Cricetulus griseus: one gene and its partners. The protein of the gene in region 7 interacts with the protein of the main gene of each other region in a biochemical or structural test. Links are inferred from orthologs where the notes say so. Each region holds a gene or a part of one and is shown on either strand. Other genes may lie near its edges. The genes, in order: Lef1, Smurf2, Tgfbr1, Zfyve9, Ski, Wwp2 and Smad3.

Evidence for each region.
Region 1: the proteins of Smad3 (region 7) and Lef1 form a complex in vitro, tested with the Homo sapiens proteins (2 studies listed by BioGRID, with this or other methods). The link is inferred for Cricetulus griseus from reciprocal best matches to the Homo sapiens genes SMAD3 and LEF1.
Region 2: the proteins of Smad3 (region 7) and Smurf2 form a complex in vitro, tested with the Homo sapiens proteins (2 studies listed by BioGRID and IntAct, with this or other methods). The link is inferred for Cricetulus griseus from reciprocal best matches to the Homo sapiens genes SMAD3 and SMURF2.
Region 3: the proteins of Smad3 (region 7) and Tgfbr1 form a complex in vitro, tested with the Homo sapiens proteins (2 studies listed by BioGRID, with this or other methods). The link is inferred for Cricetulus griseus from reciprocal best matches to the Homo sapiens genes SMAD3 and TGFBR1.
Region 4: the proteins of Smad3 (region 7) and Zfyve9 form a complex in vitro, tested with the Homo sapiens proteins (2 studies listed by BioGRID and IntAct, with this or other methods). The link is inferred for Cricetulus griseus from reciprocal best matches to the Homo sapiens genes SMAD3 and ZFYVE9.
Region 5: the proteins of Smad3 (region 7) and Ski form a complex in vitro, tested with the Homo sapiens proteins (8 studies listed by BioGRID and IntAct). The link is inferred for Cricetulus griseus from reciprocal best matches to the Homo sapiens genes SMAD3 and SKI.
Region 6: of the proteins of Smad3 (region 7) and Wwp2, one has a biochemical effect on the other in vitro, tested with the Homo sapiens proteins (2 studies listed by BioGRID). The link is inferred for Cricetulus griseus from reciprocal best matches to the Homo sapiens genes SMAD3 and WWP2.

What each region holds. Positions count from the first base shown.
Region 1 is NW_023276806.1:27,723,510-27,727,349, reverse strand, and holds part of Lef1 (lymphoid enhancer-binding factor 1), read left to right. Parts: intron 1-71; coding exon 72-194; intron 195-1,414; coding exon 1,415-1,577; intron 1,578-3,840. UniProt on the Homo sapiens protein: Transcription factor that binds DNA in a sequence-specific manner. Participates in the Wnt signaling pathway. Activates transcription of target genes in the presence of CTNNB1 and EP300.
Region 2 is NC_048600.1:119,827,521-119,831,787, forward strand, and holds the start of Smurf2 (E3 ubiquitin-protein ligase SMURF2), read right to left. Parts: upstream 2,837-4,267; 5' UTR 2,822-2,836; coding exon 2,722-2,821; intron 1-2,721. UniProt on the Homo sapiens protein: E3 ubiquitin-protein ligase which accepts ubiquitin from an E2 ubiquitin-conjugating enzyme in the form of a thioester and then directly transfers the ubiquitin to targeted substrates.
Region 3 is NC_048595.1:96,014,180-96,018,019, forward strand, and holds part of Tgfbr1 (TGF-beta receptor type-1), read right to left. Parts: intron 3,503-3,840; coding exon 3,346-3,502; intron 1,233-3,345; coding exon 1,108-1,232; intron 1-1,107. UniProt on the Homo sapiens protein: Transmembrane serine/threonine kinase forming with the TGF-beta type II serine/threonine kinase receptor, TGFBR2, the non-promiscuous receptor for the TGF-beta cytokines TGFB1, TGFB2 and TGFB3.
Region 4 is NC_048595.1:41,016,925-41,021,412, reverse strand, and holds the start of Zfyve9 (zinc finger FYVE domain-containing protein 9), read right to left. Parts: upstream 2,871-4,488; 5' UTR 2,741-2,870; intron 1-2,740. UniProt on the Homo sapiens protein: Early endosomal protein that functions to recruit SMAD2/SMAD3 to intracellular membranes and to the TGF-beta receptor.
Region 5 is NC_048595.1:1,092,226-1,096,611, forward strand, and holds the start of Ski (ski oncogene), read left to right. Parts: upstream 1-1,356; 5' UTR 1,357-1,554; coding exon 1,555-2,523; intron 2,524-4,386. UniProt on the Homo sapiens protein: May play a role in terminal differentiation of skeletal muscle cells but not in the determination of cells to the myogenic lineage. Functions as a repressor of TGF-beta signaling.
Region 6 is NC_048596.1:183,884,940-183,887,998, reverse strand, and holds part of Wwp2 (NEDD4-like E3 ubiquitin-protein ligase WWP2), read right to left. Parts: intron 2,615-3,059; coding exon 2,481-2,614; intron 2,175-2,480; coding exon 2,034-2,174; intron 1,551-2,033; coding exon 1,430-1,550; intron 1,116-1,429; coding exon 1,011-1,115; intron 208-1,010; coding exon 111-207; intron 1-110. UniProt on the Homo sapiens protein: E3 ubiquitin-protein ligase which accepts ubiquitin from an E2 ubiquitin-conjugating enzyme in the form of a thioester and then directly transfers the ubiquitin to targeted substrates.
Region 7 is NC_048597.1:175,281,313-175,285,707, forward strand, and holds the start of Smad3 (mothers against decapentaplegic homolog 3), read right to left. Parts: upstream 3,034-4,395; 5' UTR 2,534-3,033; coding exon 2,328-2,533; intron 1-2,327. UniProt on the Homo sapiens protein: Receptor-regulated SMAD (R-SMAD) that is an intracellular signal transducer and transcriptional modulator activated by TGF-beta (transforming growth factor) and activin type 1 receptor kinases.

The DNA of each region.
Region 1 (3,840 bases), on a different chromosome or scaffold from region 7:
GTGCTCTTCTAATTCTGCCTAGGTTTGCTCATAACAGCAGCAGTGCATAGTGTTTTCCTTTCTTTGTATAGGTTTTCCCATCATATGATTCCCGGCCCTCCTGGCCCCCACACAACCGGCATCCCTCATCCAGCTATTGTAACGCCTCAGGTCAAACAGGAGCACCCCCACACTGACAGCGACCTAATGCACGTGTAAGTAGACCCCGCCCCCTCTTCTGTTGTGAGATTCCATGTAGCTCAGCCTGGAAGGCTCTGAGAACAGGGGCTTGATTCTGAGACTGGAAAGGACTATCCGAGTAACAGTTGATGGACACTCACCAGGATGGAGCCCTGGTCTAGATGTAGAGGGATTGTGATCTGTAGACCACTTACCACCCCAGACTTTCCTTTAATGAAGGACAGAGTGGTGCTCGGTGCACATCATTCTGGAAATGCAATTGCCCAGGTTGGAATTCAAGAAAAAGTGGTCATCGAAATCAACACAGAATTCAAGAAAAGGTGGTCATCGACATCAACACAGAATTCAAGAAAAAGTGGTCATCGACATCAGATTCCCTATTGGGCCAGCATTGGCTCAAACTTGTAGAGCCAGGCTATATTACCTTGTTATGGAGGAATTAGAAACTCTGCCTCTTAAGTCTGTGGATGACAAGGGCAAGGCAAGCAATGTATAACAGCCCATAAAGATCTTGAAAATATATTCAAATGAAATTAATTTGGTGAGAAGGGTCAAAATCTCACTGGGGCTAGGGAGCCAGGTCAGTTGTAAGGAGCTTGTCTTGCATGAGTGAGGACTTGAGTTTGAACCCTAGTATCCTTGTAAAAAAGCCAGGTGTAGTGGCACATGTCTGTAACCCCTGCACCAAGGAGGCAGAGACAAGAGGAACCCTGGGGCCAGTGTGGTCCCTAGGCCAGTGAAACACCCTTTCTAAACAAGCAAACAACCAAGATGGATGTCAACTGAGAATCAACACCCAAGGTTGTCCTCTGATATACTGTCAATCACACACACACACACACACACCCCACGCACGTGTGCTTGGTGGGAGGGGCTGGGGGAAAGTGCTTGCTTTTCTCAGTGTCCTTTAATCCCCATCCCCCAAAGTAAACATCCATTGCAGTAGAAAGGGAATGCTTACCTGTAGTTTGTGTGCAGCTTCTTTGGAGGTGACCAAGGGCCTCAGCTTTGGGGCTCTAGTTGGAGCTTTCTCAGAGTGAAGGAGATTTAATTCAGGGTCATTGTGTAAACGAAGAACCCTGTGGTTTGATTGTTTGCAACTTGGGTTTTCATCAGAGGAGCCACACGCTGTTGTTGGTGTCCCAGGGGCTGGGAAGGGTCATCCTCACATTGAATTTGGCAGTGTGAACAGATGTTCTCTCCCGTCTCTTCCCTAACCACCGCCACCTTTCAGGAAGCCCCAGCATGAACAGAGAAAGGAGCAGGAGCCAAAAAGACCTCACATTAAGAAGCCTCTGAACGCTTTCATGTTATACATGAAGGAAATGAGGGCAAATGTCGTAGCCGAGTGCACGCTAAAGGAGAGCGCAGCTATCAACCAGATCCTGGGCAGAAGGGTAAGGAACGGGATGCGGGAACGGTTATGGCAACCATGGCACGGCTTCATTAAAGTGTGCTGAGACTAGTTACACGTCAGGTGGTGTGTGTGTGTGTGTGTGTGTGTGTGTGTGTGTGTGTGTGTGTGTGTGCGTGCACACATGCGCAATTTTGTTTCTGGGAAGTAGGGCACAAGGTACACTGATCGGTGTGTTATAAACCATTTTGACTATGCCTGGGACATAGGAAACTTCCAGGAACTGATAACTGCTTTTGCCACCACTCTGTATGTCAAGTATCTTTATTTGTCTGTGATGATGCTTGGTAACAGTTGCTGAACAAAACAGCCACATCCCTTGCTTTCTTGGAGTATGGTGTTTTGTGGCCAGATATAGATATTAGCAAAAAAAAAAAAAAAAAAAAGAAGAAAAGAAGAAGAAGAAGAAGAAGAAGAAGAAGAAGAAGAAGAAGAAGAAGAAGAAGAAGAAGAAGAAGAAGAAGAAGAAACTAAACTTGGTAGTAAATACAGTGGTTGTGATTAGCAGGAATATGCAAGAGAATCACAGAGGCCAGCAAAGGCCCTTCTGAGGACATTGAACTTACGATGAGACCTGAGGGACATAGCCCTTAGGGGATAGATGTCCCCAACTGGAGTAGTGTGGGGAGAGGGGTGAGGATTGGCAGCCAGTCTCCACAGAAGGAGCTATAGTAGGGCTTCTGGGAGACCAGCCCAGAGGAGAGAGGAAGCCTCACCTTCCCAAACAGAAGCAGAGCTGTAGGGACTGGAGAAGTCATGGTTGTTGTTGTGGTGGTTGTTGCTGTTTTTTAAGACAGGGTTTCTTTGTGTAGCTTTGGAGCCTGTCCTAGAACTTGCAGAGATTCGCCTGCCTCTGCCTCCTGAGTTCTGGAATTCATTCTCCCATTAAAGCCCACAAGTGCTGTTTCTGGGTTGTTCTTTTCCCTTGCATCCCTCCATTAGTCCATGCTGTTACAGTTCCTCACCCCTTGTCATATAGGGAGACGCTAGACTATAACCAGGGTTTGGGAACTCTTAAAATTCCTTCTCCGACAGCTTTCCGAAAGACTAGCCATTCCTTCCAACCGCTTTCCCACAGGATGGAAGAGGTCTTAGCCAGGTATCTGCAGAGCAGTAGGGCAAACTCAAGTTCATCCAATTCAAAAGTTACCTTTTTGCTGACACTGCATTACAATTTATTAGGAATGCTTCATTTTTATGTACCAGTCCCCCCTGTGTGTGCTCTGTTTAGTTTATGCCCCTGTATATGTGTTTTTGACTTTTTTGTTGTTGTTTTGTTTTGTTTTAAGTTCAAACAAGGTAAGGAGGCTCTAGCCACCTCTGGGAAGCATAGAGAGGATTGTGTGTTAGCTGCCATTGATGACACAGTAATGTTCTCCCTACTCAATCCATTAAACATTCATAAAGGCATTTAGGAGGCCGGCAGCCAACACAGAACACAGAAGCAGGCCTTGAGTTATGGACTCCCAGTGGAGAGCCTCAACCCGTTGCTAGTTCCAATCTGTGAGACACAGAGCACTCGAAGCCTGGGCACAGTGGCAGATTATACTCTGTGGTGTTCTGTGTGCAATGCCCTATCTCCCTATGGATTCTTAAACACTTAATAATGATAATTACAGTGATTCCCAAGCCAGATCTCAGCGCAGGAGTGATCCCACCAGCTTCGAAGGGCTCTACCTTAAAAGCCTGAAGGCTGGTGACCACTTTCTCCAGCAGAGGCAAAGAGGGATTGAAGTTTTGGGTTTTTTGTTTTTGTTTTTGTTTCTTGTTTTTTTAATTCCAGCTCACATACCTCTCTTAGCTTTTTCCTTTTTTTTTTTTTTTTTTTTTTTTTGCCTTTGAGTCAGATGTCCCCTGGCCCCGCAGCAGGAATTATTTTCCTGCTCAAGAGGGTGAGGATATGATCTTTGAGGTATGCTTCCTCCTTTTAATGCACATTTCCAACAATTGCTACTTTCTCGGCTCCCTGAACGGTCCCCAGACCCAAGCATGTGTGTCTTAGGGATGGTTCTCATTTGGGGTCTCTCTCTGTCTTTGATTTGGACACCTGTTTCTATTTATAGGCCTCTGGATCTTTGATTAGGATCAGGTTTTCTGCCCTTTGAGCACTCCCTCTGGTGGGGCCTCGCTTCTCGGCTCTTTTAAAGTTCTGGCTTTAAAAATCATGAAGTTTTACACTGGCGTGATTACACTGCTTGAAAGTGGATCTTAAATCCACCCCGGAACATTTTATCTTTTGATTTTTT
Region 2 (4,267 bases), on a different chromosome or scaffold from region 7:
ATCCAAACTCTGATTATTATGCTGACATAGCAAGCACTTACCAACTTTAGCCTTCTCCTCAGCCCCAGATTATTATTCCTGGGACTAAATCTCATCAGCTTCAAATAGCTTTAAAATGTTTTTTATTTATTTGTTTGTGTATTGTGTGTCTGCATGAGTTTATGGCATCACATGCAATAGGTGTCCATGGAGGCCTAAAGAGTGTTGGATCCATGGGAGCTCAAGATACATGCAATCTTGGGCCACCAAATGTGGGTACTAGGAACTAGATTCAGGTCCTCAGGACTCACTAGTAACAGAAGAGCCATCCCTCCAGCCCCCAACTGATTTTTTTTTTAAGATTTTATTTATTTATTATGTATACAGTCTTCTGCCTGCATGCCATCATAGAGCACCAGATCTCATTCAAGGTGGTTGTGAGCCACCATGTGGTTGCTGGGAATTGAACTCAGGACCTCTTGAAAAGCAGTCAGTGCTCTTAACCGATAAGCCATCTCTCCAGCCCCCCCCAACTGATTTTTTGTAAGTGCTTTTTATATATACTGTTTAATGCTTTCAAAGCAACATCTTATATTTGTAACTCTGAAAGGGAGGATTATCAATATGTGATCTGAAAATGGTAATTTTATTCACTTGTATAAGTAAATTATTTTCATACTCTCTAGTCTTCATTGTACTGCTCTTGTTTCTTGAAAATCTACTTCAGAGATTAGAACCACAGCTCTCTGGCTTTTTCCATCTTCAGTACATTAATTATGGGAGAATTACTCCATAACCGTTCAAAGAATTCATGAATTTCAATATGACAAACTCCTGATTATGCAACTATTATTATGCAACCTTTGCCTAAGGAAGTATGTTTCTGAGGAATTTGTATATATGTTTTTAATCTATCATTTTTTGGTAACAGAACTATGTAAAATATAACCAAGACTGTTTAATTCTTGTTTTCTAAATGTTTCTCAAGAGAGACATTTACACACAATGTTAAGAGTGACATAGCAGGAGAGGGCCAATAGTTCAGACTTACTCCTATCCATCTTTAACATTTAGTAAACTTCTTATTGGAATAATATAAACAAAGGACACAGAAATGCTGATTGATTAAATTTTCACTAATTTTAATTAACACATTGCACTAGCTTCAGATATTATGCAATTATGTGCTAATTTTAATCAATGATAGCTACAAATGTAGCATATTAATACTATAGTACTACCACTGAAGTCCATTAGAGACAATGTCTCTAATGAGCCTAGAGCTGCATACAGATTAAATCTGCTATAGTACTTTGATAATGTTTAATATTCATCTCAAATTCCTCAAAGTGTTTCTATTCTTAAATCTGTACTTCCCAAAGTTGTTCTAGCTAGTCCATCTACCTCCTCTAAAGAAATAATAAGGTAACCAAATTAAGGAAAGTTGTATGATAGTTAATCGCCATTGTGAATTTTATTGGGTTTAGAGTTACCTAGGAGTAGGTGGGGCACACCTGTATATGTTTGTGAGATGGTTTCTAGAGAGGACTCATTAAGGAGAAAGATCAAACTAGATGTGGCTGGCATCAATCCATGAGCTTAGAACACTGGCGGTAAAAAAGAAAAGCCACCAAAATGCCCCGTCCCTGTGCTCTGCTTCCTGGCCCACCATGATGTGAGCTTCTCTGCTGTACTAAGTCCTCATACAATGTTGAGACTGACATCTCAGAAACCAAGAGCCAAAATAATCCTTCCTCCTTTAAGTTGCCCCTGCCCCAGCTATGATTTAAGTAACTAATAGAATAGTATGCTAATAATGTCTCTACATTTCACATGGATAGGGGTATAACCTTCTTGATATGCTTATAGAGAACAGAATAAACCAATTAATAATCAATTCTTTTTTACTGAGACAGTCTCACTGAGTTGCCTTGGCTGGCCTCTAACTCCTCATACAAACTAGGCTGGCCTCAAACTCAGAGATCTACCTGCCTCTGCCTCCTGAGTACTAACATTAAAGGCATGCGCCACAAGGCCTAGTTTCATTCTTTCATTTGACATTTCCTGAGTACTCACTTTATGCCAAGTACTATCATAGGTTCTGCAGATAAAGATACAACTCAATTATCATACCATAAATACCTTTTTTTTTTTGAGGGAGAAATTAGAATCCTTTTATGTAACCCTGCTGTGCTCAAAATCAAGATCTAGGGATTGGAGAAATGAACCAGCGGATAAGTGCACCTCTCTGGTCCTGCAGAGCACCAGAATTCAGTTCCCAGCATCATCCACAAGGTGCCTCATAACTACTTGAACTCCAGTTCCAGGAAATCTGATGCTCTTTTCTGACCTCTCTAGGCTTTCTACATATACACACTATACATACATACCTACACACACACACACACACACACACACACACACACACACACACACACTCAACACATGCACACATATACATAAAGTAAAATAAATATTTTTTTTATAAACCAAGATCCAGGTTTTTATAAACCTGCTTCAAATTCCTGAGTGCTGGGATCATAGGAATAGGCCACTACATTGGCTACAAATGTCTTCTGTTATTTTTGCAAGAAATGTTTTTAAATTTTTTCCAAAAATAACAACAAAAATCTTTTTATATGTATTTGAAGTAGTAACTGGAAAAAACACTTGTGGAAGGGCGGCTACCACACTGTGGGTTAAGTCACTAGTTTCTTTTTTTATTAGAAAGAAGTTGCCTACCTGCAACAAGCATCTGTAATAGTATCAGTGCAATGCCCAGCGGTAGTAACAGAATGGTAACAGAATGGAATGCCCTGCTGTTCTCGTAAGTTGTACTCATAATGAATGGTTGTCTGTGCTTAATTTCAATAAAGCTCCCAACTGCTCATTATATCCTTGCCAAAAATTCCCCTTCCTCCTCCAGACTGCAGTTGCATTCCAATTACAATGCACACTGGAATGAAGCTGTTCAAAGGGGGTAGAGGGAGATAGTCAGATATCCTTCTTTTCTTTGCTCCCAAACAAACAAACTTTCACAATACTGTTCCTGTAACTCAAAAGTTACAGAGAATATTTTAGCCAACATATTTTTCTGCACGTTCTTCAAACTTACGTTGGCACTGTAAAAAGTTAACATGGAAGTCCAGTTTAACACCTCTAAATGAAATCCCAACAAGCTGGCCCAGGCTCCAAAAAATATGCTTCTGTGCACCATTCCTTACCACTGACACATGACAGCAGCAGTTTAGAATTGCCACATGTTATTACAGGAGCTTAGACTATAGCTCTATTGACAGAAGCCTGTGTAGCACATTCAGGGCCCTGGATTCCATCCCCAGCACCACATAAACGAGGTGCGGTAGTATATGTCTATCCACAGAACTAGAGAGACCAAGACTGAAGGAACTGAAGTTTAAGTCTACATAAAAAGTTTGGGGTAACATGGTCTACATAAGGCCCTATCTCTAAAAAAAGAAAAAGATAATATAGGACTTTGTAATAAGCAAAAGTATCAAATACAAATCTAAACACATACATACATTTTGGAGAACTACTTGAAAGTATTTCACTACACATAATTTCTTAGATTTATTCATTTTCATTATGTGTATATGTGCTATACATGTGTGCATGCAAGTGCATGCAGAGTTATAGAAGAGGGCATTGGATTCTGCTGGAGATGAAGTTACACGTCCTTTTGAGTCTCCCAGTTTGGACCACACTGGAGTCCTTGAAAAGAGCATCAAGTGCTCTTAACCACTGAATCACCTCTCCAGCCACTCAGCTATGAATTTCAAACCAGTTTATTTTGTTGGTGGTGGTTTTATGTTTTGTTTTGTTTTGTTTTTTTAAGACAGGGTTTCTCTGTGTGGCCCTGGCTGTCCTGGAACTCACTTTGTAGACCAGGTTGACCTGAAACTCACAGAGAGCTGCCTGCCTCTGCATCCAGAGTGCTGGCATTAAAGGCATGAGCCATTACCACCCAGCTTTAAATCATTATTTCTATGAATTATTTTCTCCAACTTAAAAATGAAAATATATATGTACACTGTTTTAGTTACATCAATTCCCTTGTATTCTGTGTAGGGGCCAAACACTGTTCTATCAGTTACTATTTGTGCTGGCTAGTTTTATATAAACTTGCCACAAGCTAAAGTCATCACAGAGTAGGAACCTCAATTAAGAAACTGCCTTCAACTGGGAGCACACCTTTAATTCCAGCACTCAGGAGGCAGCCTGGTCTACAAAGCAAGTTCCAGGACAGCCAGAATTATAGAGAATAACC
Region 3 (3,840 bases), on a different chromosome or scaffold from region 7:
GAGGTTCACAAATTTATGTATCTCACCCACATCTGCATCAATAACCCACCTACTTGAGTCATCACTGGGCTTGCAATTTTTGTGAAGGATAGTGTTGTCAACTTGACAAAATCTACCAATCACCTGGAAGACAGACCCGTGGGCATGCCTGTGAGGGATTATTTTGATTGGGAGGACACATCTTAACTATGGGCAGTACTACTTCATAGGCAAGGGATCCTGGAGTGTATAAATAGAGAAAGCAAGCCGAGCACCAGCATGCACTCACTGCTCTCTGCTGCTTGACTGTGGATGTCATGTGACCAGCTCCCTCAAGCTTCTGCCACTGTGACTTCCCTCTATGGTAGCTGTAACTTGGAACCACGGGCCCTTCCTCCCTTAGAATGCCTTTGCCGGAGCATTGTACTACAGCAATGGAAAAGAAATCAAGGCCATTTTGAACCTAGTGTGCTGTGATAACCAGGCTGACACTCTTGACTACAACTCCACCAGACAGAAGATGCGGATATACTCTTATTAGGAGATGTGAATCCCACAAGTCCCTTCCTCTGCTTGTGCCTGTTAATCTGATGTCCTATGCTATAACACCAAGCATACTCTATACATCACTGTCTCAAACTTTCAAGTTCTAAGTCTCACACAGATTCCTAAGCCTAAGAGACAGTGTCTGAGCAAACACTGACAAGTTCTCAGTCTAATATAAAACCAAAAGTTAAAACAAAATCTACAAAGTACGCAACATTAATAATGCAATTGTCATTATATGTCTAAGGATCCTCAACAATCAAGCTGGAGAAAACAACCAGTGTTAAAAAAAAAAAAAAAAAAGATGTAGCTGAGTCCATACTAAAAGCAATTTCTCAGGTGGCCTTTCAAACAACTAAATCCAAAATAACAAGAAGCTAGGTTCTGACACTCTCTGAGACTAAATAGCAACAGAACATGACTCTGGATAAAAGCTGTGTGTTGGTGAGGTTTATCTTTTGTTCCTGTGACATTCTCAGTGGTCACCTGTCAGACTGCTGACAGTAAAATTTCAGTCAAGAGAAAAGAAAACTCTTGACTAATTTCTCATGACAGATAACTGGGGAAAGGAGAGCGATTTACCACCAATGGAACAGCGCCGAGCAATTTCCCAGAACACTAAGCCCATTGCATAGATGTCAGCACGTTTGAAGGATTCAAAGTGTTTCATGTTTATGGAATCATCTAGGACTTCAGGGGCCATGTACCTAAAAAAGAAGCCAGCATTTCAGTCCACTACAAAACATATTAATTACTGTCTCATACACTGTCTTTTACTTCTGGTAAAAAGACACATGGGGTCTCACTATGAAGCCCCCGTGAAAAGTTACTATATATACTAAGCTGCTAAAAAAAACACCTACCTCTGCTTCCCAAGGGTCTGGATTAAAGGTGTACACTATCACACCAAGAAAACTTCTCTTTTTATTATAGTTCTGTTTTTAAAAATGATTCACTCTTCCTATTAAAAAAAAAAAAAACTTCCCAAGTATATAAAGTACAAGGTGAAAAAAAAATCACCCCCTTACCACAAGTGTTAACATGGGTCAGACCTCCTTAAACATGCACAAAACTATCACATAACTGAGATCATATCAGGCTCAAGCAAATATTAAGTATCTAAACTGGTTTGCAAATTAATGATGTTGACTAAATCTCATGAAATGCTGAAATGGCAGCTCCATGCCATCTGCCTTCTGATGAAGGTTTATAAAAGGCACACACTGAACAGCTGTGGCTGTTACCAATACCCTAATGTACATCACCCTCATCTACTATTTAGGGACTACATATTTTAATCTGGAAGCCTCCTCACCAAAACAGAAAAAAAAAAAAAAAAAACAGGAAAGAAGAAAGGGACAAACAGATAAAAGGAATGTCAGTCATGATGATGCTACATTACCAATTACTGGGTTCTGAAGTTTGTTTCTTTTTTGTTTGTTTGTTTTTGGAGACAGGGTTTCTCTGTGTATCCTTGGCTGTCCTGTTTCTCTGTAGACCAGGCTGGCTTCAAACTCAGAAGTCGGCCTGCCTCTGCCCTCCAAGTACAGGAAATCAAGTTGTGCACCACCACTGCCCAGCTCTATAGTTTCTAAAATCCTACTACAGCTACAGGTCCTTCAGACCACTACTGAGGCTCCCTCAGCCAGTCCCCCTGGAACCCAGAAAGTGTAATTATATTTGGATTGACTAAAGCTGCTGGCTTTCTCCAAGTTCAAGACATTAGCTGTGAAGAAAGGTTGTGAGTGCTTTTTAAACACAGTAAGACTTTGAGTCCATATCAGCTTGTCAGCCACATGAAGTGGGTTACTTTATTTAACCAACAAGGTGGTTGAATTAATAGTAACGACACCTATCTATGGAAGTTCTTTTGAGAACGCATGAATGCAAATATAAAAGTGTATTTGGCATTTCAACAAGTACCTGGAACATAAAACTGCTCTTAAGCTTCTTGCAATCCAATGGAATACACAGACCCAGACACATAAATGGTCAGTTAGAATATAATGTGAGAACAGTTAAGTAAATGCCTCCCTCAAATAGTCATTTATCATTGTGCTATGCCAGGAACATGTAAGGGTCCTGGGGACCAAAAAAGGCTTCCTTGAGTCAGGAGTGCTATTAAGGGGGATGTATGTTTTAAGGGCAGCATACACAAACGTTCTAAGGAAGAAAGACAACAGAAAATATGAAAACAGGCTTACTACAGTAGAAACTATAGCAAGTTATAGATGACTATTAGTTATTATTTGTGGTAGTTTGACAGAAAATGACCCCTAAAAGGAATGGCACTATTAGGTTGTATAGCCTTGTTGGAGTTGATGTGGTCTTGTTGGAGACGTGTGTCACTGTGAGGAGGGCTTTAAGTTCTCATATATGCTCGAGCCATACCCAGTGAAACAGACCACTTATTACTGTCTGTATATCAAGATGTAAATCTCTAGCACCATGTCTGCCTGTACACCACTATGTCCCATCATGAAAATAATGGACTGAACCTCTGAACTGTAAGCGAACCATCACAATTAAATATTTTCCTTTATAAGAGTTTCTGTGGTCATGGTGTCTCTTCACAGCAATAGAAACCCTAACTAAGACATTATTGCTCTTACAATTAACCTAGTTAATGATAATACTTTCTAGAAGGGTTGCTCTATCAACAGGTTCATTTTTAAGTTAGGTAACGAGGTTTCAAAGTAGCAAAGACTCTAAAAGCGTGTCAACAGTCTAATAAAGGACCAAGTTTGAGTTTCTGAAGAGATAGGAAAGAAAAGAAGTTGACATAAGGCATTACTAAACACCATTGATTCCTAAGTGTACCTTTTAGTGCCTACTCTATGGTTTGGAGCAATATCAATTGTATCTGTGGCAGAATCATGTCTCACAGCCAATCCCAAGTCTGCAATACAACAGGTTCCATTCTTCTTCACCAAGATATTCTTTGATTTCAAATCTCTGTGAGCAATAGCTGGCTTTCCTATTGGAAACCAAAAGTTAGACATGACTGCTTAACAAGTGACACCAATCACAATTTACTTTTAGATCTCAAAGCTTAGCCTGTCCCAGGATGAAGGCACTTGAGCTACATCAACTATAACAACTATAAGAACTACTACTAACCTCAGTGAATCACTGTGTCAAAAGGGATGAAGTTTTGTTTAAACCTTCAGACAATATAAATCTAAGAACTAAAAAACTAAGGTGAAAAAGTTGTTTGTTTGTTGATCTCTAAGTAAATCTCCAGACTTCTGAGATTTTCATTGGAAAACCATTCAAATTTTTAAAAGCTACACATTTCCAGTTAGGTTTCAAGTT
Region 4 (4,488 bases), on a different chromosome or scaffold from region 7:
TTTTTTGGTTTTTCGAGACAGGGTTTCTCTGTGGCTTTAGAGGCTGTCCTGGAACTAGCTCTTGTAGACCAGGCTGGCCTCAAACTCAGAGATCAGCCTGCCTCTGCCTCCCAACTGCTGGGACTAAAGGCGTGCGCCACCAACACCTGGCTTGGCAATAATCTTTTAATCAAGTTTTGTACCTTGCAACCAGCCAATCTGTGGCCAGCACATAAGAGTAGCCAATAAACTCTAGTGCATGGAATAAAAATGGTAGCTTAGCAACAGAGGAAGAAATGGGACCACCCCTACTCATTCATTTTTTCTTTCTTCACTAAGGAGTTAATATAAAACTAGTGCTTTCCAGGCAACATATGCCATTATTTCTTTAAAGAAAACACTGAATCAGGAATTGCAAAAGAAAGGAATACTACATATGAATTTTTTTCTCAATTCTGGGAATTAAACCGAGAGGCTTGTACATTCTAAGCAAGTCCTCTTCCACCAAGTGACCTCCCATCCCTTGAAGGGCAAGATACTGGATGAGACACAGAAACCCTGAGCAGAGAGAGATCTAGCTCATTTTACTCAATTACAACAACTTTCTGACCCTGTCTTGTAACAGTTAATTAAACTTGTACTGCTTCCACAATTAGCTAATTGCTATCAGAAGCCTTGTAATTTTTGTATTTCCCAGAACACCTAAGACAGAACCTGACATTACTAATAGCTAAAATTGTATAAAATTTTTATATATTACAATACTTTGTTCAAATGCTGTCTCCTAAAACCTTCCAAATTAAGTATACCAACTGCATTTTACAGACAATACTGAAATTTATTAATTGCCAAGATGAATGCTCTGATAGCCTTAACATTACTGTAACAGGCTCTCGACGTTTGTGGACTGAAACAGCTGTCCCTCAAAACACAGTTTTTCTATCTGCATTATAAAACCATTAACTGTTGCTATGCAAAACATCTGTAAGCCACTGAAGATAGTTTTGCTAGAAAGCTGGTACTTTTGTTCACCTAAGCAAATCTCTTTTAACTTTTATCAGTAATGTTCACATTTAGTAGTACTAAGAATCAGGAAGGTTGATAAAAATCACAATCTTTGAGTTACTGTTATACCCACAATTCTGATGTAGGGGACCAGGAATCGAATTTTTAATCAGCACTCCCAACTGATTCTAATATTGGTCTTCAGAGACACAATGAGAAAAGAATTCGACTTTTAAGACCTAAATTAACCAAAATATCTAATCAATCCAACTTTTTACAGTTAGAAATGCTTACACAAGATCTGACAAAGGCAAAGCTACAACACCTAACATAAGGGATCCTCAAAATTCTTCACCACACTGAACCTCCTTAGACCTCTGGAGATTCCCATGCTGTATAGGAAAGTTAAGTCAGGAGTCTTACAAGTAACAACCCATGTTAACTAATGGCTTTAACTCCGGTAATTAGTAACATATTTCATATTTTTTAAACAAATGCCTGGTTGTAAATTGGACCAGTCAGCATTTTTCATTTAAGACCAATAATAATTTTACAAGTCACCATCACCACGATCTCACTTTAAACTTTGAATGACCATCAAAACGTACTATGACGTTATCAGTAATCGCTCTCTAGTTATTAAATAAGTACTGAACGCCGATACAGAACCTCTCTGTGTCCAAATAATTTACTATATATACAGTATATTTTCATGAATCAAAGTTCTAGATGTACATATAAGCCCTATATAATAGGAGAATAAGAATAACCTGTAATCACATTTATCCTAAACAAGCACCACCCCAATACTGACTTGTGGTATCACACTACAAACACTAATTTCTTTTACATTACTACCAGAACAAATCATTTTCCTTTTACAATTGAGTCTCTACCCCATTTTCGTCAGGTCCTTGTTATTAGGATAATTAGCTCGACTTAAAATTCTCTTGCCAATCGTTCCTTATTTAGGTGGAACATTTTTGTACCAAGGACTGAAGCATTAAAACATTTCCTGTCTCTTTGAAGGTGGGAGAAGACATATTCATAAAAGGTTTTTTTTTTTTTTTCTTTGAACTGTGAGTGCTTAGCTAGGAAACTTAGCATGGCAAAGATGGGATGGGGCTTTCTCCAAGGCAGACCTCGCTCAGAGACAAGATGTAACATAAGAAGGAAATGAGGAGCTAGCGGCAAGTGATGAAATTTCACCTCAAATAAGACGCAAAACGCTGTGTCTCTAGGAGGAGAGGCGTGAATGCTACTCCTGGAGTATCAGGGGCTCCGGGGACCCGCACTCTCTGCACCTCAATACTCACCACTCCCCACCCAGGGGGTGGCTCTGCAGGACTCGGTATGCCGCAGAGAAGCCAAAGCTGTTTGCAAACAAGCGTCCCTTCCCTCCCTCCGGGATGTGCAAGCAGGGCCCTGGGAAGGAAGGCACGCTCGGCCCCGCCCGGGACAAACGCGAAGGGCACCGGTGCGGCCGCCAGCCCGGTCTTCACATACCCGGCCGCGCCGGAACCCAGGCCCGGGCAAGGGCTTCTCCGCAGCACCGGGCCTAGTCGTCCCCCGCGCGCCTCCAGCCTCCCGGGGGACCCTTGGAAAAAGGGCCGAGGCCCCAGGGCTGCGGGGTGCCCGCGGCGGCCGCAGTGCCAGGACGCTCCGTCCGCCCGGCCCGAGAGCTGGCGCCAGGGCCCCTGAGCGACGCAAGCCGGCGAGCCCCGCACCGCACCGCACCGCGGCGCGCCACACTCACCGCCTCTCCATGGCCAGGGGGTCGTCCCTGAGCCGCAAGCCTCCTCCTCCTCAGCAGGGCTCCGCCGCGAAGCCTCGCACTCCTGAGGGGGCTGCGGTCGCTGCGGCGGAGGCCGAGGCCCGGCGCCCCTCCAGCCGCATCGGCTCCGGGGCCGCCTCAGCCACGCGGGTCCGGGGGAGCGCGGTCGAGCGCGTCCGGGGGCGCAGGCGACGGCGGGACGACGGAGGCGCTGCAGGCAGACGGGCTCGGCGAAGCCTCGGGCGCCGCGGTGGCCGCTCCAGCTCCCGCGCCGCCGGGCCACAGCGCCCCTGGACCCACGTCCCTACGGCGCCGGGACTGCGGCGGCGGCCGCGCGAGTACGGCGGCAGGGAACGCAAGGCAGCGCGGCCTACGGGTGGCTGGGCCCCGTGCGCCCTGCGCCGCCCGCGCCCGCGGCCCGCCCTAACGCGGCTTCCCGGGAGCCGGAAGCTGTCGGCCCACCCCCACCCCACCCCCGTCAGACCCCAGCACCTTTCTTCCCTCCGGAAGGTATGTGAATGCTCTTGTCACTCGGACCCGCACCCGAGAGCGGGAACGTGAGGGAATCTCGGTTCATTTCTCATGGAAGACAGGGGGTTCCTTTTAATCCCCTCAGTGCGTTGGCATGAAAGGAGAGTGACCCAGAACAAATCTTCCTTTTATCTTTTTCTAAGCACATGCAAAATCCCTTCCCAAAACAGATAAAGGAATGATCTTTAATCTTAACTTTTGGGGGGCTACTGTGCAGATTCATTACAGAAATTTGCTACAGAATCCCTTAACCCCTAACCTTCCTCCCGAAAATAGAGAATAAATAAAACGCTGACCCAAGAGAAGAGAATAAGCAACGTGTTGTCCTGAAATTGATAAACAACTTAAAGGTAAGAAAAGAACCATCCTTTTAATAACCTAGCCCTGGCCACCACCTCTACTCTACCACTTCACCACCACCCACCCCTTAACCAAATCCTAGGTAAGACTCTGGAAGAGGGACATTGTGGGTATATGGAGGGCTATGCAATAATTTTGTTTACAAATGCCTCCTGTTTGATTTTGCCCAGCTTCTAGGGCACTAATGTCACAACCAAAAGCAAAAGACTGTCAGAAGAGAAATGGGGAAAGAAATAAATTCCTAAAGCCCTTGGTCCCCCAAATTCCCAAGTACGGTGTTTTTGTTTGTTTGTTTGTTTCTTCTGAGTGCAATACTAGAAAAAGCAAAGACTTTGGTGCCAAGCAGAGCCTGATACCACTGGTCCCAGTTACATCATGTATAGTTTTATGACCCTGGAAAGTTATGTAATATTTTGAACCTGTTTTCTTCTGCCTGCCTAGCTGGTTGTGAAGGTTAGGGATGAAAGGACTGGCCTATGGTTCCAATTTTTGTTAATTCCAAAACATCCTAACACTTAGTCATTCTTAATCTCCAGCTTGTTTTTGTTTGTCCCACCTCACTCCCCCTACCGTGTGTGTGTGTGTGTGTGTGTGTGTGTGTGTGTGTTCCTCATCAAAGGTCATTTTCACCATCCCTTGTCTGAGTGAAATTTCTCTGAATTTCACTAGTGCACTTATATAATCCTCCTCTAAAGAAGAGAGCCTAATATACTGGATCCTTTGACATTCTATTGCACAGCAGGTATCAAAATAGAATCACTACATTTTCTGCATAAAAATATTATAAGCAATCTTGCCTTACCTTAGATTATGGCATAATAGTAACAAATCATGAGAAA
Region 5 (4,386 bases), on a different chromosome or scaffold from region 7:
TGTCCTTATGCAGGGACCTGGAATGCATGCTGTGGTGTCCTTATCATAGGGGGCCAGGCACTTCGGTCGTGTGGAGACGCTAGGGTGCTTTGAGACGCTCTTGTATCCAGACCCCAATGTTTTGTGGCATCCTTGTCATGAGGGGGCACCTGGGGTCCTTTTTATGAGTGCAAACTCTGGGGTGTCGCGTGGCGTCCCGGTCCTGTAGAGAACGACGCCCAGCAGTATGGGGAGTGGAGGCTATTTCCCAGTTATCTCCGTAGAATGGGGACCCCGGGACCTAAGGAGGCAGCGGCGCAGATCTACTGCGGACCGCCACTCAGCTGGTCTGCGGTTGTGGCAGGGGCCTTGTGGGTTTCGGGGCCCCAAGACCGTGGTGTCAGCAGGACCGGAGACTTCCCAGCCGCGCAGGAAGCGGCCTCGGCCGGAAGGGGGGCCCCAGGCGCCTCGCTGCAGCCGCCTCCAGCGGCCTTCACAAGGCGGGGCCGAGCGGGACCGAGTAGGGCCGAGTGGGGCCGAGCGGGGCCGAGCGGGGCCGAGCGGGGCCGAGCTCCGGCCCGGGGGACCCGAGCGGAGTCGAACTGTGGGCGGACGGAGCCGAGCTTGGCCGAGTACGGGCCGGGCGTAGCCGAGCGCCACCGAGCCCGGGAGGGGGAGCGCGCGTTCTTGGAAGAGCCGGCCCGAAGCTGGTCACATTCCTGGCCCTCACTCCGGCTGAGGCGGACGCACAGCAACAAACAACGCGGGAGGCGGGGCCGGCGCGGGCGGGGCGGGGGTACGGGGCGGGGCGCGCGGCGGCGTGAGCTCAGCTCCCGGCGCTCAGTCCGAGCCGGAGCGAGCCGCCCGAAAGATGTGCGCCGAGCGCGCCGAGCCCCGCGCCGCCGCCGCGCTCTGAGCCGCGGGCTAGAGCGCCTCCGCCGCCCCGGGGCCGGCGCGCGCGGGCGCGGGCGGCCGGGAGCCGGGCGGCCGCGCGGGCGGGCAGGCGGCGGGGGCCAGCGGCGGGCGCGACGCGGCCGGCCAGCACCGCGGGACGAGCCCGAGGGCGCCGCGCGGTGGGAGGAGCGGGGCAGCGCGGCCGCGCCGCGCGAGGACGGCCCGGCGGGCCCCGCGCCCGCGCCCCCGCTCTCCCCGGCCCCTCGGCTCGGCCGCCGCGGCGATTCGCGCCTCGCGGCCGGCACCTGCCGCGCGCGCCCCGCGAGCGCCCGGGCCGCGAGCGTTGGCGTTGGCGTTGGCGGCGCGCGCCGGGGCATGCCGCGCCTAGAGCCGCGGGGGGCGCGCGGGGGGCCGGGGCGGCGGCGGCGGCGGCGCGGCGCGGGGCGCGTGATGTGGCGCCGGGCCCGGGTGGCGGCGGGCTCCAGCGGCGGGACCCCTTCGCCCGCCCGCCTTCGCCTTCGCGCGCCCCGGGCGAGGCCGAGGCCGGGGCCGTGATCGGCCGTGAGCCGGCGACGGGGGGCGTCGGGGCCGCGGTCGCGGTCGGCGGCGGGGTGCGCGGGGCGGCGGCGAGGCCGTGGGGGCCCGGGCGCACGGGAGCGGCCCGGGGAGCCCGATCGCACCATGGAAGCGGCGGCGGCCGGCCGGGGCGGCTTCCAGCCGCACCCGGGGTTGCAGAAGACGTTGGAGCAGTTCCACCTGAGCTCCATGAGCTCGCTGGGCGGCCCGGCCGCTTTCTCGGCGCGCTGGGCGCAGGAGGCCTACAAGAAGGAGAGCGCCAAGGAGGCGGGCGCGGCCACGGTGCCGGCGCCGGTGCCCACTGCCGCGGAGCCGCCGCCCGTGCTGCACCTGCCTGCCATCCAGCCGCCGCCGCCCGTACTGCCCGGGCCCTTCTTCATGCCGTCGGATCGCTCCACCGAGCGCTGTGAGACCGTGCTGGAAGGGGAGACCATCTCTTGTTTCGTAGTGGGAGGCGAGAAGCGTCTGTGCTTGCCGCAGATCCTCAACTCGGTGCTGCGCGACTTCTCACTGCAGCAGATCAACTCGGTGTGCGATGAGCTGCACATCTACTGCTCGCGCTGCACCGCCGACCAGCTGGAGATCCTCAAAGTCATGGGCATCCTGCCCTTCTCCGCGCCCTCGTGCGGGCTCATCACCAAGACGGACGCCGAGCGCCTGTGTAACGCGCTGCTCTACGGCGGCGCCTACCCGCCGCCTTGCAAGAAGGAGCTGGCGGCCAGCCTGGCGCTGGGCCTGGAGCTCAGCGAGCGCAGCGTCCGCGTGTACCACGAGTGCTTCGGCAAGTGCAAGGGGCTGCTGGTGCCCGAGCTGTACAGCAGTCCTAGCGCCGCCTGCATCCAGTGCCTCGACTGCCGCCTCATGTACCCGCCGCACAAGTTCGTGGTACACTCGCACAAGGCCCTGGAGAACCGGACCTGCCACTGGGGCTTCGACTCAGCCAACTGGCGGGCCTACATCCTGCTGAGCCAGGACTACACAGGCAAGGAGGAGCAGGCCCGCCTTGGCCGCTGCCTGGACGACGTGAAGGAGAAGTTCGACTATGCCAACAAGTACAAGCGGAGGGTGCCCCGGGTAAGTGTCTCCAGGTCTTGGGGGTTGGCAAGCCATTTGTCCAAGGAGGGGAGGCGGTGGTCCTCTTGGGCTGGGCACTCTGGCTTCTAAATGTTGGGGCACCTGGTTCGACCTTATTTGGCTTTGGGTTGTTTTGATTTCAGGAAATTAGGGGCCTAGTTAGTCTCCTGTGGGTAAGGCCATAAGGCCGCCTTGGTGCTGTCTGAGCACTGTAGAGTGAATGGAAAAAAGCCCTCTCAGGACACATAGCCCTTGACCACATAGGCTACGCTCTGAAGGTCTGAGAAAGGCTGCCTCAAGCTCTGGGAGCTTGGACTTCCTGAAGAGAAAGAACCCAGGCTATGACTTTATGGCCCAGATCTCCATGGGATCTTGACAGATGAGAATGAAGTTTGCCCCCTTTTTTTCTGATGACAGGGATGTCTTCTTGTGGTTTCCAGCTGATACGCCTTGTATGTTTACTGGCTCTCTTGTTTTGTGTTTAAATCATGGGGCAAAGACACTAAAATGAAGCTAGCTAGTTGTCCTGGCAGAGACTTGGCACTTGCAGCCCCTAGAGTCTCCTGTTGGTGCACCTTGAGGACCACTTGGCCTGGTCAATGGTAGCAGAGTCTTGCTTCTCTGACTCAGAGTTGCTGATAGTATGCAGTTTCTTTAGACTCACCCATTTCCTTCTGTTGCTCTTGCACTTGGTGTGGAGGCCTGCCTGCCTAGGCTGTGCCGTGTGTGCGTCACGGGCTTTGTGGGATCTTCTTGGCATGACCCTGGCCACTTAGTACCAAAACCTTTCACTGGGGTCCAGAGGAAGTTTCTTTGCATATGCATCCTAAGTATCTGTAACTTTTAAATATCCCTGCTTATTAAATTGCACACACAGAATGCTGCATTGGCTCAGCTATTCTTGGGAGACCTAATTAATTCAGCTATTGCATCAAACTTTTTTTTTTTTTTCTAAATCTGTGAATAGATGCTGCAGCCCGGTTTTCTCTGGGCGCCCCTCCAGCAGAGTGTCAGAATCGTGGGGGGAAGGGGCTCTGAAGAAGGACCGTTGCCTAATTCTTTGGGGGCTGCAGAGAGTGTGCACATACTGTGTGTCCTATGGCACTTTTGCCCCAGCTAGGGCAGTGCATGATGGCAGGCGGTTGCAGGCGGGTCTTTTCAAGTGGACTTGGCAGTAGGCAGGCTGATGTGGGTCCTACCAGTGGAGGCCTATCTGGGCTGTCTGCACCCTTGTCAGCTAATGTAGCCTGAGGTAGTCATTTGAATATAGCGACTGGTGGACTTGCTGGGGCTACTGTAGAGATGTGGGACTAGTGAGGATGAGCCACTGGGAAGCATTCACACCTCTTATCTTGGGAGCAGGCAAGGAGTCTTGTCTGAGTTGGGTGTGTCTGTGTTTGTGTTTGTCTGCTTTGGGTCATGTGTGTTTGTGGTCTTTCTATCCAGGTTTAGGGGACTGCCATGGTCCCTTTGTCCCGGCCACTATTGAATGGAGTAGACTTCTGCCTTCTCTGTTTACAAGCTTGGTGATTCTGGTGTGGGGTCTTTGGGCTCAGAGGAGGTGGCTCAGATGCTCGTGCCAGCACTATGGGGTTAGAAGACAGGATAGTGCACTGAGCCATGGTCATGTGCCTGGGTCGTTTCCGCCGTGGTTTGTAGCTGCCCTTCCCTTGATAGCCACCCTGGCAATGGTCTGACGCCTCATCTGCTGAGTGAAGAGACATTTCTCGAGTGATTTGTGTCTCCAGCACCACTGAAGCAGTGGTGGCATCAGCTTGGGTTCCTATACTTTGGCCAGCTCCTGAGTGCTTACATGACGAGGGACTAGTGGGGCTGTTTCCCGTTTGTGGGGTGCTCCCAGCC
Region 6 (3,059 bases), on a different chromosome or scaffold from region 7:
CCAAAGTAAGACCCTTTCCCTTCCCAGCTTCCAGGATGGTGTGCATGCTGGATCCAGGCTGTTCTCACCCCCAGCCAAGGTCCCAAGAGGACAATGGAAAAAAAACGCACCAATGAGTTCAGCAAATCCTCCAACAGGCAGGCGACAGGTTCCTGTGACAAACTGCAGTAGCCGGATCCTCTTTTCATTGTCCATCTCCTTCACTACCTACAATTTCACAAGGAATCAGGGGTGCCCTTAGCCTAGCACTTCAGAACTTAGCAGGGACATCTCCAGGCCTGGTGGGGCCACACTGGGCAGGGAAGACAGATACGAATCAGGAACATCCCACAAGGGTCCAGGGACACTGCTTGGTCTCAGGGACACCCTGGGCCTGACATCCTTCGCCCTTCCCCCACATTCTGCTTTTACAGACACTCTAAGGTTGAGAGTGGGAAAAAGGATTTGTTTGGGGAGCAATGAACTGTATTGGAGTTGAATAATGCTGTTAATTGCACAGCACACTCAAAGAGCTAAAGTCACTGAACTGGACACCTTGAAATATCTGAAATGGTGAATTGCATGCCATGTGAAGTACACCTTCACAAAAACTTTACATAAAACACACACACACACATACACATGTAAGGATGTTTGTAGCTATCTTTTCCCATGCATGCTCTCCATTTTTCTAGACACATGTGCCTTCATTTCTCACCCCATCTGACTGGAGGAGACCACACAGCCAATCATAGCTGAACTTCCTGGACGTGAGTCCCCTTGGCTCCCAGCACACTAACAACCTCTGTCACATAAGCTGGAAACAATATAGACACAACAACCTCTATCCCGACTAGAGATAGGTTTATCCTCTACTTTTCCAAGTAGGGACGGGGAGGAATGGATCAAAGATGAAAGGTTCTTATGTCTGGTGTCTAGGTAGGTCTCATGTCCTTTGGGTAACTGGGAACTATCCCTGGCAAGACCCTTGACCCCAGGCTAACAGGGGAGACACAGAGCCCAGGACGCACCTGCCAGAACCACTGGATCTGCTTGCTACTCTTGGTGTAGTGCCGGTAGATGGCATTCTTCTGCCAGTCGTTCATGTCTATTTCCTGCATGCCGCAGAGCATGAGCTGTAGGGAGGGATATGTCAGCAAGCCTGCATCAAGCCCTCCCCTGGCACTGCTTCATGCCCACATGGTACTGCCTCCTCTCACCAGTAGGTCACTCCTAAACTTTGTCAACCTGCTACTTTTTTCAGAAATGTTAATGCCCCTGCTCTCTAAGCACAGGGAAATAGGGCTGAGGTCAGGTGACACTAGCTGCACTGCTGCCTCTAGCTTGCTGAAGTTTGGGGCTTGGTGGGTAACTTTTTGTGGGTACACAGCATGGATCTGGAGCAGCCTAGAAGCACTGAAGTCAAGGGCCCACAACTTTTGGCACCCACCTCCAGCTCTTTCTCATCAAAATATCGCAACCACTCCAGAGGGGCCACCTCATTGAAGCCATCCAGAAAGGCTTTGGTCTGCTCTTCCACACCTCGAGTGAATCGCCAGTCAGTCAGCAACCTAAAACCAAAGATAAGCCACTGATGGAGCCCAGGCCACCCTGCTTGGTGCACTGTTTTAACCGCTGAGCCTCAGACTCACACAACTGTATGGTTTAATGGAATAGACCAGCCAGCCTAAAGAGTGTGAGTGGAAGGCTTACACATCAGCACTGGAGGGCCGGAAGACTAAAATACATTGGACACAGAAATCCTCCGTCAGGAGAAACCGCAACATCTAAGCTTTTTATTTCTTTAAAAAGTTCCTTGAAGTTGGGAAGTCTCTTGAACATAGAAAGATCAACCTGGAGCTGGTAACCAAGGCCAGAGGCTCCAGGTCCACAGCTCAAATCATGTGACCAGCCAAGGCCAATGCACCTAGGATACTGTTGCAGTTTGTGGAGACTATGGGCCCCATAGTGGTGCCTGATCAAAGAAGGTACAAAAACAAGGGTAGATTCCCTTTCTCTGTAACATGCTCCCCTCCCCCAGGCCTGAGGCTCACATGATGTACTCTTCCTTGTTCTCTTCTGTAACTCGGATGCTCTCACCACCTTCCTTCAGCTCATGGGTTGTCACCTTGCCCAGGATCTCCATGTCCTGGATGAAGAACAGCTCCAGGCCACACTCTTCTAGGTTGTTCTCTCTGGGACACAGGAGACCAAGGGGGAAGATGTCCATCTTATCAAGGTCCACCCTTGACCTGCCCCTTACTAAGGCACCCAAGAGGCACTGCGAACTCACAGGTGGCCAGGCACAGTGGCTTGGCACATTTTCTGCTGCAGAGAGAGAATTCTAGAACTGTATTATAAGGGACTTAGAAACTCTTATCTCTATAGGCCAGGTAAGTACCCAGGAATCTCCGACGATGATGGTAGAGGAAATCAGGGTCAGGGTGCCAACTGGCCAATCAGAGCCTGGCTCCATCAGAGCAGGGCAAGCCAGGACTCACTTGATCCAGACAATGGAGTTGTAGAACTCAGGGTCAATAGACTCTAGGTCCTTCAGAGTTGGTCTCTTGTTGAGCATCCGCTTGTAGAAAGGAAGGGTGAAGCCTGTGTCGATGAACTTCCCATGGTACAGAGCCTGGGCAAGGAAGAGGCACAGAGAAAGGGTTTCACTTCCCTGGATGGCACCTGGGGCAGATCAGGAGTGCTTTGGGTGTCAGCTGCCCTCCCCGAGAGGATACCCCTTGAAAGCCAGCTGCCCTAGCTGAAGGGGGGGCCTGGGAAACAAGCACCTTTTTTCTGACTTGGGCATAGGGATAGACTTATCCCATCCTGAAAGTCATAGGGACAAGCAAAGCAGGCCCACTGTCTGCCCAGCACACTGGCCAGGCCACTCCCCCTTCTAGCAAAGGCCTGTCCCCCACTACCAGGGAAAAGTTGTTCATAACAGCTCCAGGTGGCAGCCCTGACTCACTGGCACTCTGAGTGGGTAGCACAAGAGGCCAAAAATAATGCAGACACTGAGGCTGGCGAGAGCTGGCAGCCAGTGGTGAGTAATAGTCTAAGAGTCTCACTGGTCTGTC
Region 7 (4,395 bases):
GCCTTTAGCTTTCTGCCCATGGCCAAAACAGCAGCAGCTGTTGCCAAGGGAGACAGGGTGACCCAGAGGCGTGGGCACAAAATCCAGGGATGGAGATCCACCTTTGTCTGGATCCACCCAAGCAACTGGGTCTCTCTAGTTGAGAAAAGATAAATGAAAACAATCCCAGGGCTAGGAGTGTAGCTCAGTAGCAGAATGCTCACCTAAAATGTGAGCCCTGGGTTCAATCCTCAGTACAACCAAAGAACCAACCAACAAAAACCCTGCTCCCACCCACCACCTTCTTTGTGCAGTCTGAAGATGCCTAGTCCTGGAAGACCTGGGTGAAGTGGAGGTGGTTAGCCTGAACTCTCAGAAGCACACAAACCTTCACCTGCCTGGGACTGGGAAGGGCTGCAAGTGAAAGCAAGATCAGAAGGCAAATGTAGGCCAAGGAAGGCACAGTCTCTCCTCTAAGCTGACCCCAGCCCAAAGATGAACCAAGAACCTTCCAGGCAGAGATCCACCACCCTCCCTGGATAAGGATGCTTTGGGCTCTCAGAGTCCACAACAGTCTGGGAGAAAGGGTATGCTAGCCCCAGTCTTAGGTTTTTCCCTATCTCCTGTGAAGGTCTGTCTGGTTGAAAGGCAAGATCATTTTAGACCTCGCTGCCTGTTCTGTTTTCCAGGCCTTCATCAGGCCTATGACAGTGCCTTGTAAATTGTGAAACACTCTGCCCAGCTGCTTCATAATTGATATCACTTGAGGGGGTTCAAAACATAAAGTATTCAGTGTGGCTGCACCCAGGCGTATTAGGAAAAGGCTATTTCTCCGGATCTGACAGAGACCTGAGACTCAGCCACTCCACTTCGTCAAAAGGATAAAGAAGAATGAGGAGCCAGAGCAGGAGCTAAAACCCAGGTGCCTGTGACCATCACGTCACAGCACCCCCCTAAAGCCAGTTGGCAGAGGCTCACAGGCCAAGCATTCTTCCCAGACAACTGCCTTCGCCTCCCCCTTTATTGATCCCAACCAGGTTTGGGGGTTGGTTGTTTTTGGTTTTGTTTTTTGGCTATTTTTTTTAAGCAGGCATCCCTACCGTCTGTGGTGTTTATTTCCAGGGAAGGCCGACCCTGGGCTCCTGTGGACAGATGCTGCTTTGCGCCTTACTGTTAGGGCTGGCAGCATACACACAGCTGCCTTGAGCAGGTGGCCAAGGATGGAGGCCACCCTGGCCCGGAAGAATGATGACCTCTCTATCTTAGGCCCTGGGAGCTCTCTCTCCATTCCTCTGCAGCTTGGGACACCACCACCTCCCACCACCACCCCCACCCCGCAACATCCGCACCTGCCCTCCTCTGGAATCAATCTTTAAAGATGTCTTGAGAAGTGGAGACAGAAGGCTAAAGTGCCCTCATCCCAGGCGCAGTTATGCTCTGGGAGGCCCTGGGAGTGAAGTCACTGACCCCTTCCATCAGCCATCTGTGAGCTCCCGCCGGACTCCTCTAGCCCGATGGGAAGGATAAAGGAGGTCAGGACAGATGGCAAAGCGTTTTGGGAAAAGAGGTCTCTACAGGAATGCAGGGACAGAGGGAGGCCAGCTCTGGGATGTTTTGTTATCTGTCTGGAGCTGCCTGCTCGGTTCTAGGCACCCGCAAACTCTCAATTAAAATGAAGGCATACCAGGCAGGCGTGGGGTGGGAAGAGGGAATGACCGTACTTTCTGCCACTTGTTTCTCCCGCTTCAAAGTCGGTGCTTTGCTCTGCAACTAAGTGCGTGCGTGCATGCGTGCACAGGGGGCGGGAGGCTGGCACAACCAAATCTAAAAATACTCGATAAAAATGCTAATCCCAAGGCAAAGAAAGAGCGAAGAAGGAATCTGTCAATCAACGGGCTCCCGCTCCTCACCCACAGCTGTACCGACTGCATTCCTGTAGACGAGGAAAAGAAGTGGGGGAACAGAGCTGAAGAAAAGAAAGGGACACACGCCACCACCTCCACGAGCGCGGGGCGGGAGGCGGCGGCGGAGGAGGGGCTCGGCCGGCAGAGCCGAACAAAGCGGGGCCTCTACTTGGAGCCCAAAGCCCAGAGAGTGGGGGGCCAAGCTCAGCAGCACCCCTGCTGCCCACAGGCGGCTAGGGATCCTTGAGGTCTGGAAGCCAGAGTGCCGCATGGAAGCCTGGGCTCTGAGCCTGGACAAATCCGAAGAAGGTTTTGTTTGGGGTCCCTCCACCCACTGCCTGTCCCCAACACTAGAGCGCACACACACGCACACGCCCTCCCCTCTCCACCCTGGCCGCCCTAGAGGGCTGGGCCGGCGCGCCCCCCGTCGCTCCCGGCCCCCACCTGGGGATGGTAATGCACTTGGTGTTCACGTTCTGTGTGGTGATGGCCTTCTCCAGCTCGTCCAGCTGCCCCGTCTTCTTGAGCTTCTTCACCAAGCTCTTGACCGCCTTCTCGCACCATTTCTCCTCCTGCCCATTCTGCTCGCCCTTCTTCCAGCCCAGCAGGCGCTTCACGATCGGAGGGGTGAAGGGCAGGATGGACGACATGGCTGGCACGGGAGGGTCACCGGCGCCCCCGGCGGGACTGGGCGCACTGGGGACGCCGGGGGCGCACAGGGGCAGCTCGGCCTGCGCCGCGCCCGAACTTCGCGTCTAACTCTGGAGAACTTGCCCCGGCGTCCGGGCCGGGGCCGCGGCACTCCAGCTGCGGGGATCGGGAGCACGGTGGCGCCTGAGTAGCTCCACGAGGACCGACGGACTGACGGGCAGGCCCCGGGCGCGCGGGGCGGAGGCGGTGGCCGCTGAGACTCCGAGTGGCAGTAGAAAGTTTGGGTTTCCGCACGGGGTAGCTGTTTGGGTGCCGCCTCCGGGAAGGAAAGTCCAACCCCCAGCCAAACTTTGCTGGCCTGGATGACTCTGGTGAGCAGATCCCTCCGCCTCTGCAGTCCTCCTCCTCCTGTTCCTCCTCCTCCCCGCTGATCGCCGCCTCGCAGGGCCGGCCAGGGCCGTGCAGCGGCGCTCCCCGCTCCTCTCCCGCCCGCTCCCAAGTCTACGTTTCACGCAGCTCCGCGTGCAGGCTTCTTCCCAGCGCTGTCGCCGCCCCCTCGCCGCTCGGGCTCCCCGCTCCTCCCCCGCGCTCAGCTCCGGGGAGGACCCGCGGCCTTCCCCGCCCAGCGCCGCCAAGCGCGCCCACGTGGGCCACCGGGCACGGCGGCCGCGGGACCAGACTCTTGGGGACTCGCCGCCCTCAAGACGCTCAGATGCAGTTGCAGGGACTAGAGAGTGTTAGACTCGCCGGAACAGGCGCGGGACCCCTAGGGTTCGCTGCTCCCTGGAGAGTACTGGGACAAGAAGAGGGGTTCAGTTCCAAGCCCAGGAAGCCGGGGAGCACTGATCTCGCTCACTGGCCCCGGCTGTTTTCCTTTGGTTTGGTGTTTTTTGTTTTGTTTTGTTTTTGTTTTCCCGCTGGGTGAGATCAGACCGACTGACTGCCCGGAGACTGCGGAGGAGGGAGTTGGGAAGGGGGAGAGGGAGACTTAAAAGTGGAGTTAGAGACCTCAGTGACAACTTGAACAATAGCTGGAGCCTGGGGTCCCTTGGGCCTAGTGAACCAAGCTCTTTGCAGAAAACGGGCCTCAAAGACATCTGTTGCATTCCTTAAGGAATGAATGGGAGCGCTTTAGGATTTATCTTTGGGGGAGGGGAAGAATTAACATTGCTGGGTGTTACTGAAATTCGACGCCAAACAAGCAAGAGAGCTTTGTTTACAAAGCAGTGAACTCGCACATACAAAGTGGAACGAAGTTTACTCAAAGTTAGCCTAGGTAGGACACCAAGAGAACCTGACTTTGGGTAGCCCTGGGGCCCAACTATCGGAATTCGGGGCTGGCTGCCCATGGTCCTTTCACGGGCTTGGAGGCGTTACAGCAGGCTCTCAGCTCCTTTACCCTGCGGCTGCAATCCCATCGGGTTAACTCAGTAGGTATAGGACTATGCTTGTTTTAAACAGTGGGAAACCCCACCACCACCGACGGTGGTGAGAAAGAAGTTATTTGCAAACCAAGAGCCGGTGGGAGTTACAAAGACCTATGAAGTGTGGCCAGTCCCACAAAGTCAGCCCAGAAGCTTCAGGGGCCCCCAGCTCTGTCACCGAGGGTGCCCCATCGCCAGCCACAGCTTGTCAAGAGGCTGTGGTTTCCTAGGTGTCTCCTTCCACCTCCCTGAAGCCAAGTCCTGAAAGGAGGAGGATTGATTCTTGAGGCCCAGTGGACCCTAACAAGCTAGGTCCTGCACTCCTGTTGGAGTGTGGCTGTAGCCTCCCCTTCCACTCGGCTTCCCAGCCCTTACCAAGAGACTGAAATGGAGGCGGTCTTAACTGCTGTCTTCAACCTAAGACAGTCTAATTGCTG